2 linked regions of the Xenopus tropicalis genome follow. The protein of the gene in region 1 binds, or shares a complex with, the protein of each later gene. Links are inferred from orthologs where the notes say so. Each region holds a gene or a part of one and is shown in the gene's direction. Other genes may lie near its edges. The genes, in order: tjp1 and gjc1.

Region 1 (3,822 bases):
TTCTATTTAGAGCACCATATCTTACATCTACTAAAAAACATTTACATTTTTAAAAAAAGCATTGAAAAGGATTGTTTTGCTATCCGTATGGATTTATGCAGTTAGCTACCTTCAAGTAGAAGGCACTGTTTTATAACTACAGGAAACTGTTAAAAAATAAAATAAATGTAAAAATAAACGGGAAACGTCATTCCAAGCTTTCTGGATAATAGAGCTATCCTACGACTGTATATCCATATAATACACTAAAGCCCTGAATAATCTGTAAAATGAATACAGTACTAAGTCAGAGCCACTCTGCCAACTTAGTACACCATGTGTGAAGTAGTGAGCTTGAATCAGGCAAATAGGCTTTGGTGTGTGGTATAAAGGAGTTTTTATCCAATGTGCTGATTTGTTTTAGAGAAGCTCTTAGATGCCTCCACACATAATAGGTCTGGGTCCTGCTAGTGGTCCCTTTGGAGGATCTGGTGAGTTCCATAATGGTGGGATTGGGGGGTTAATTATTATAAAATGTTTGCAATGCAAGCCTATTTTTTTTTATATTTTAATTTCTTTAACAGAGCCAAAACCTGTATATGCCCAGCCAGGACAACCAGATGTGGATTTGCCAGTCAGCCCATCTGATGGACCTTTCCCTAATTCTACACATGAAGATGGCATGCTTCGGTAATGCACACTTTCTGTTAACAACATTTAAAAATGCTTAAAATTGTTATTAAAACTGTTTTAAGGAATCCTTCCTTTCTTCTAAGAATAGGTGCTTTGTAGCCACCTTCTTTCTTTAGGGTGAAGACACACAGAGCTACTAGTAGCAACTGCTTGTCATGGCTACTAAAATAGACAATGCTGATTGTTTATTTATAACAATAGGAGAGGCAATTCTCAGTATTGTCTTTGGCAGAGCATTTTCTGGTGTTAAGTAACCTTAGCAAGAAGATGCTACTAAGTAGCTCTGTGTGTCCTCACCCTGACTGACCAAGGAGAATTGCCACTGTATAAGCTAGTGGCCTCTTTCATCGAAATACTCAACATACTCCCTTGCATTTCAATCAGCACTAATTTATCAACAGTAAGAGGGCCAAGAGGTGCCCTTCCAAGTTAAATGAACTGTAGTGCTACCCCAAATGTAAACCTTAAAAAAAATTTTTTTCAAAGAAGAATTCTATAATCCACAGGGACATTTGAGAGAAAATAAATTTGTTTTATAGATTGTTTAATTATTGTTTAGTGTTATTTACACAGTGTGTATTGAATATATGCTGTAGCATGTATGAATTTTTTTAGTACGTCTTTTCTAAAAATTATACAGATAGTTCAGATATTATAAACTTTGCTTAGATTTATTTGTTCCATGCTAAATTTACTTCTGTTTTTTGGAGGCCAAGCATGAAACTGGTGAAGTTCAGGAAAGGAGACAGTGTAGGCCTTCGTTTGGCTGGTGGTAATGATGTGGGAATTTTTGTTGCTGGTGTATTAGACGACAGTCCTGCCGCAAAAGAAGGTTTGGAGGAAGGGGACCAGATACTCAGAGTAAGTAGCAGTAAAATTTTATAATGCAAGATTTTTTCAGCTCTACTGTTATGCTATGAGCATTAATAAAAGTACATAATAGAAATACAGGTGGAAAAAGTAGAAATGTTGCTTATGGATATCACACTATTTCCTGAAGTTTACACTCACAAGGTTAACTTACCCTCAATGGAACATGAAAATCCCAACTACTACATTTACATTTTCATGTTGTCATAAACTTTGAAATAGATTAGTATAAATGATTGTTTTAAACAAAGAATGCTGTCATGGGAAAACATGTTTTTTTTCCCCAAAACACATCAGTTAATAGATCTTCTCCAGCAGAATCCTGCGTTGAAATCTGTTTTTCAAAAACACTGATTTTTTTTATATTTAATTTTGAAATTTCACATGGGGCTAGCCATATTCTTCATTTCTTAGAGTGCCTCAACCATGTGACCGTGCTCTAAAAAACTTCAGTCACACTTTACTGCTGAGCTGCAAGTTGAAGTGATATCACCCCCCTCCCAGCAGCTGATCAGCAGAACAATGGAAAGCTAGCAAGATAGCAGCTCCCAGTAGATATCAGAATAGCGCTCCATGGTAGAAAATACAAGTCCAGCTTGTGACTTCTCCAGTTACATGAGAGTAGGAGAAACAATAGGTTAGCTGAAAGCAGTTCTAATGTGTAGCACTGGCTCTTTCTGAAAGCTCAGACTCAGGCACAATGCACTGCCTACACACCAATATCACAACTAAAAAAATACATTAGTTGGTTCAAGAATAACATTTTCAATGGTAGAGTGAATTATTTGCTATGTAAACAGTGTAATTTAGAAATAAAAATTATACCATAAAAAACATTACCGTATCCCTTTAAGTGTGTCATTCCACCTACTATTATTTAGCAGGGATTTTAGTTATTCAATGTTAAATAGACAAAGAACAAGGAAGTGCTTAATTTCACTTTTTTAATCTGTAATATTCCCCTCAGGAAGCTTTATTAAAAAACAAATGTGTTTGTATTCATGTGTTTGCGAGCTGCAATACTCCTTGATATAAAATCTCACACTATGCTTTTTTTCTGCTAGACGGAAAAACATGGCACCCATTTGCCACTGAATAACAGGCACATTTTGGCCCAAATACAGCTGTGCATAAATGGCCGAAATCCTCCTTGTGTTCACAGTGACGCATGGATGCCATTAATAGCATGGGGCAGAATTGGCTGGCATTAATTTTGTTTCCACTTCCAGAGAAATGCCTAATGTGACAATTAGCTACAGGGTGTATAGTGTTCTTATAGCTTGAATTAAGCCAAGTGAACTATGTTTTGCTTTATTATCCCATAATTTCTGATGACCCTTGTAAATAAAAGTGCTAAGTGGGATTGGTTGTTTTTGTGCAACCTTCAGTTCTAAATAATCCAAACTAAATGCAAATATTAAATTTAATTTTAGGTTAACAATGTGGATTTCACCAATATAATAAGGGAAGAAGCGGTACTGTTCCTTCTTGATCTGCCCAAAGGAGAAGAGGTTACCATTCTTGCTCAGAAAAAGAAAGATGGTAAGTTTTCTTGCCATAAGTTGGCCATGAATATGAAAATATTTGTGTTTATCATTAATTAAACAATTGTATATTTTGCAAGCATTACCTCTTCATGCTGAAATTTAGAATGTACCATATTTGTGTTTCCAGTGTATCGCCGCATTGTTGAGTCAGATGTTGGGGATTCATTTTATATAAGAACTCACTTTGAATATGAGAAAGAGTCACCATACGGGCTAAGTTTCAACAAAGGAGAGGTCTTTCGAGTTGTGGATACTCTTTACAATGGCAAACTAGGGTCATGGTTGGCCATTAGAATTGGTAGAAATCACAAGGAGGTGGAAAGAGGGATAATCCCCAACAAGAATAGGTAAGTGGTTACCAGTTTTACAGGTTTCTTTTGTATTTTTGTGTACTTTAACTGTATGGATAGTAGAGCTGTTTGGTTATGCTTGTGTGTTGGGTCAAAGTGGATTCTTTAAAGGGGACATACAGCATACATTTTCACAATGCAGTGAAACCATGTAAAATAGAAGAAGGAAGCGTGTTTGTTTTAATATTATGGGTCAAATACATCTGAATCAGCTTGATAACTGTGCTGGACCTGCCCCTTTTACAACTTTCCGGTCTCAGAGTCTTTGGTGTACATCTTATCATCACCTTCTGTCTCAGTAACTGAGCCACATCCATTAAGGGAGGACTGGGCATGCAGAGGTGGGCAGCGCTATAACACTCAATCCTTCGCTGTAGACCGCG
Region 2 (4,440 bases), on another chromosome or scaffold:
CTCTTCTCCTCTTTAGAAATGACGAGTTTATTGACAACAAAATAAAAAGTGCTACATTGCATCCAACTTGCATGGCTGAATTCTGCACTGTCTGGGGCTATTCCTTTTTCCTAATAACCTGACACATATGGCTGGCTACTTGCTAAATGCTGGAAGTGTGACAAGGGGAATATTTGAAGAGAGTGTAAGACCAGTGTGCCCTGAGCAGCAGAAGAAGCACCCAAGGTGCAAGACAAAGACTAAGGGGGGATCCAAAAATGATGGGAAGTAACAGACTGGAGGGAAGGAATTGGTTTGGGAATGACAGGAAGCAGTGAGAAAGTCCAATAGTGTATAGTAGGGGTGGGGAGAACGATGAGTGACTTCAGAGGGGAGAGGCACATATGAATTTGTCAAACTAGAATCTATTTAGGTGATTTAAACTGGAATAGAAAGGAGATACTGGGACCCATCACTCAACCCCAGAACTGCCCCAGACTGGGACTGCCCCCTTACACTGGGACTGAGACACCCATCTACCACTGGACAAATGCGCCAGTTAGGGCTTTTCACTGTACCAGAATAAAGTAACTCCACCATGCTCCACAGATATATATTTACCTGTAACTGTGGAATAATGTGAATAGTAAGGCATAATGGTGTCAGAGGAAAAAGTTGTAAACTTGGGATTCGGTTATAGTAAGGAACCACAGAGTCACGTGAAAGGGATGTAACAGGGGTAGTGTGTATAGTAAGGAAGTGCCCTGCAATATGTGTAGCTAAAGTTAAAAAGCAAAAAGTCGCCTCTGGTAACTAAGAGCTGAATTTACTTTTTAAAGGGAACTAGCAATGCAGTCCCCTCTGGACCTGTTCCGACACTAAAATTATAGGTGCGGAGTGGGAAAGATGGGCGGCAGCAGCTCCAGGAACGGCCTCTGTGGCCCTAAAATATCAGAGCCTATTATGAATCCCAGTCTCGGCCTGCTACATGGCTACCTACAGCTGGCCATACACGCACCGATAATATCGTACGCCCGATCAAAAGATTTTGATCGGGCGCCATAGAAGGCGCCTGACCAAATCTGCCTTCAGCGCTGAATCGGCACAAGGAGGTAGAATTCCTATTGTTTCTACCTCCTTATCTGCCATTTCAGCCCAGAACGGTTTGTGGCCGATTGTACAATCTTTCATGTGACCGATGGTCGCACGAAAGATCGCAAATCGCCACGTGTGTGGCCACCTTAAGTGTATGTATATGTGTGAAATGCCCATGAGCATTTTTTGACACCACGGCCATCTTTAGACACGCAGCATGCCCCCTTTTTGCCCCACACAGTTCTGGGGCACAGGGGCTGCCTCATGGAATTTAGTGCTCACTAAGTAAGAACACGAGCTGGTGGAACATAAGAAGTGAATTTATTGTTTTAATTAAAAAAAAAAAAAGTTTAAATCTCCTCCTCTTCCCTCAGCTCCGAAGCACTATAGTAGTCTGTGCGGCTGCTGCTGAGCTGCCATTGGATAGTAGTGAGGGGCCGGAGTTCCAAGTTGAACCGGCCAGTCACTTGCCTGTCATCACACTGCTTGTCTGTTCACTGGGGAAGGAGACTTAGGCTGGGGTCCTGCACAAACTGGAACCCTATGGGGTCTCTGTGGGCACTGAGGCGGAACAGCAGGAGCAGCTGTCCTTTTAGCCGCCTTTGTTACTGAGAGAAGGGGGGAAATGGTCACATGATTGTCCCTGTCCCGAAAAGAGAAAGGGAAGGACTCAAGCGGGAAGGAGCTTTGAGATACTGCATGGTGAGTGCCTATGTCTCTCTCTGCTTGTGTGTCACTACTAGTGGGACTGTGTGTGTGTATGTGTATGTGTGTGTGTGTATGTGTGGGTGCCACTAACTAATTGTGGGCAGGGGAGGAGGGAATCTCCCAAATTAAACAGTAAAATGATTGATCAGTTATTGTCTGGTTTGTACTGGACCAAGTGATTAATACTTAATGCCCATTTATTTAATGAGTAAGTAATTTTAATATTTTCCCCTAAATATAGGGTGATTAAAAGTCAGTGCCTTTTGTGAGGATATTTAGAGTTTATTCCTGCTCCCATCCCCCTGGCACACAGGGCTGACCCCCCCCCCCCCCACACGCAACTGCTGCTGGGGCTGCCATAGATTTATGGCACGCACCACTGTCTCTGGTGGGGTTCCTTTTGGAGACAAGTTAGGGTTTCCACTGGCCAAAGTCTGTTGGGCGCCTGTACCCAGCTTAAAAGTGAAATTCATTGTAGCCCCCTCAGTTCCCAGTGTATCTAAGGGGATCAGCACTGCCTGGGGTGTGTGTGACGGAGGACACTAGTTATGTGTATTACTGCCATTCATACTCATTTAGTCGGTACAAGTGCCATTTCTGAGTCCAAAGGAATTTCCTCCTGCAAGGCAAACTGGAGGCAGCGCTAGGAATTCTTTCTGCCTTTCTCTGGAAAATCCAGGAGAAGGGGAAAGGCACCTTTCTGTCAGAAATAAAGGTTTAAGGTTCTGTATCCTAGCAGTGGATAGAAGTGTGAATTCAACACGTGGGATAAAATTTCAGTACATCTAATACCACATTATTGCATTTTTTAGGCACTTAGTTTAAATATCAATGTCATTGTGTTATGTTGGGTTGCTTTCCTGTGCCACAGGTCTAATGGGAACCTAGCAACATCCCTGCAGGTCAGCGTGTGCCATTATATTCATCGGTATTTAGAGTATGGCTGTATCCAGGATTTATTAGAATTCCACCACTGCTTGCAAAATTCATATACCTCAAAGTTGAGCCTAATCTGCTCTCATAAAAGTTATGTGACTTAATGTATGTATTGGGCTTCCATCCTATGGGGGTCCTTCGTAAATTTACTGCAAACGGCAATAACTGTCCTTGCTTTGAAAAATGTACTACTATAGCAATTGGCTGTTTCTAACATTAAATAATACTGTAATAAAATATATATAATTGGCTTTGAGCTGTATGTATTATGATGAGCCTGGAAAGCCTTAACGTGCAAGATTGCGTGAATTATTTGTTGCAGCAAAATGTGTATTTGCTGTGCTGTGAAGCGTCCCAGGGTAAAAATACTAAGTGTGCCCTAGCACTTATAACGCCATGCACAGGTATCTAACTACTGTGAGCCCATTTCTCCAAGTAAGTAGTTCAAAACTCGAACAGAACTTCATCAGCAACCCTATCTTCATGATGCAGTGTGGCTCATTCATTTACCCGTTATCAAGAACATGTTTAATTTAAGCACCCCCTGTGTAAGATGTACATTATGCTTGAGAGATCCGATTAGATCTGTAAGCCAGGGTTCCAAGTGCAGGACACAGATACAGAAACCCATTGCCTCAATACATTATATTTTAACCCTGATATCGTGAGGTTACACATGGAGGTAAACTGTGTCTTTCTATGTGTATATGATTCAGTGTGCATAGGTATCTATATCCATACAGCTGGGGGACCTATTTTGCTCCAGAATCCAAAATAGGAGCAACAAAGGGCGTTTGACTCATTTATTGTGATCAGCAGCGCACCATCAATATTTAGATTTTTTAAAAATATTTTTTATCTTTAGTATGTGTATGCTTTGATTTTTTTTTTTTTTTGTGCGTTTGATGCCATATGAACCATGCTCTGAAAATATCAGGGTTTATGGGACCTAATAAATACCAGACATTCGAGTTTTTGAACCATTATTTGAATTCAAATTTAGTGCAAAAAGAATCGTGAAAAAAAATCAAACTCAAACATTGATAATACTCCCCCTTTCAAGTTTACTAAAAAATCATTTAAACATTATATACACCCAATAGGATTCTTTTGCCTCCAATAAGGATTAATTATATCTTAGTTGGGATCAAGTACAGGGTACTGTTTTATTATTACAGAGAAAAAGTAAATCATTTTTTTAAACATTTAATTATTTGATTAAAATGACGTCTGTGGGAGATAGCCTTTGTGTAATTCGGAGCATTCTGGATAACAGGTTTCCAGATAACAGATCCTATACCTGTATAGGTAAAAAAGGTTTTTTATTATAGAGCCTGCTCTTCTATTCCTTTGTAAGTTAGGTCTTCACACTGTTGTGATAGTATACAACATTGGACAGGGTTATAAAATATTTAAATTTAAATAAACAAATGATTTAGGAACCCCCATATGTTCATACTGGTCATTTTTACACATTTAAAGTTTCATCAAACAAGAAGCACTTGGCATCGGGTTCCTTTACTTTACTTGCACAAATACCAGATAGAAATTCATTAAATATCAACATTTTGTGCAAATTCATATATTACCCTAGGACCAAGAATAATGTTCAGTTCATTATAGTGTAAAAAAGTTCTTGCTACTATAATGCTGTAATGATAACGTTAAAAGGCAGTTATTTGAAAAGTCAAAGTCTGATATAGGGAGGCAAAAATTGCAGAC

What was found.
Region 2: the proteins of tjp1 (region 1) and gjc1 are in contact, whole or in part, in a crystal structure (PDB 3SHW), measured with the Homo sapiens proteins. The link is inferred for Xenopus tropicalis from reciprocal best matches to the Homo sapiens genes TJP1 and GJC1. Residues at the interface, in NP_003248.3 of Homo sapiens: Lys429, Ser432, Val433, Gly434, Leu435, Arg436, Leu437, Gly449, Val450, Leu451, Val484, Leu487, Leu488, Leu549, Asn551, Gly552, Lys553; in NP_001073852.1 of Homo sapiens: Lys391, Thr392, Ser393, Val394, Trp395, Ile396.

Annotation. Positions count from the first base shown.
Region 1 is NC_030679.2:97,715,950-97,719,771, reverse strand, and holds part of tjp1 (tight junction protein ZO-1), read left to right. Parts: intron 1-563; coding exon 564-669; intron 670-1,382; coding exon 1,383-1,533; intron 1,534-2,975; coding exon 2,976-3,084; intron 3,085-3,216; coding exon 3,217-3,436; intron 3,437-3,822. UniProt on the Homo sapiens protein: TJP1, TJP2, and TJP3 are closely related scaffolding proteins that link tight junction (TJ) transmembrane proteins such as claudins, junctional adhesion molecules, and occludin to the actin cytoskeleton.
Region 2 is NC_030686.2:17,914,221-17,918,660, forward strand, and holds the start of gjc1 (gap junction gamma-1 protein), read left to right. Parts: upstream 1-1,507; 5' UTR 1,508-1,776; intron 1,777-4,440. UniProt on the Homo sapiens protein: One gap junction consists of a cluster of closely packed pairs of transmembrane channels, the connexons, through which materials of low MW diffuse from one cell to a neighboring cell.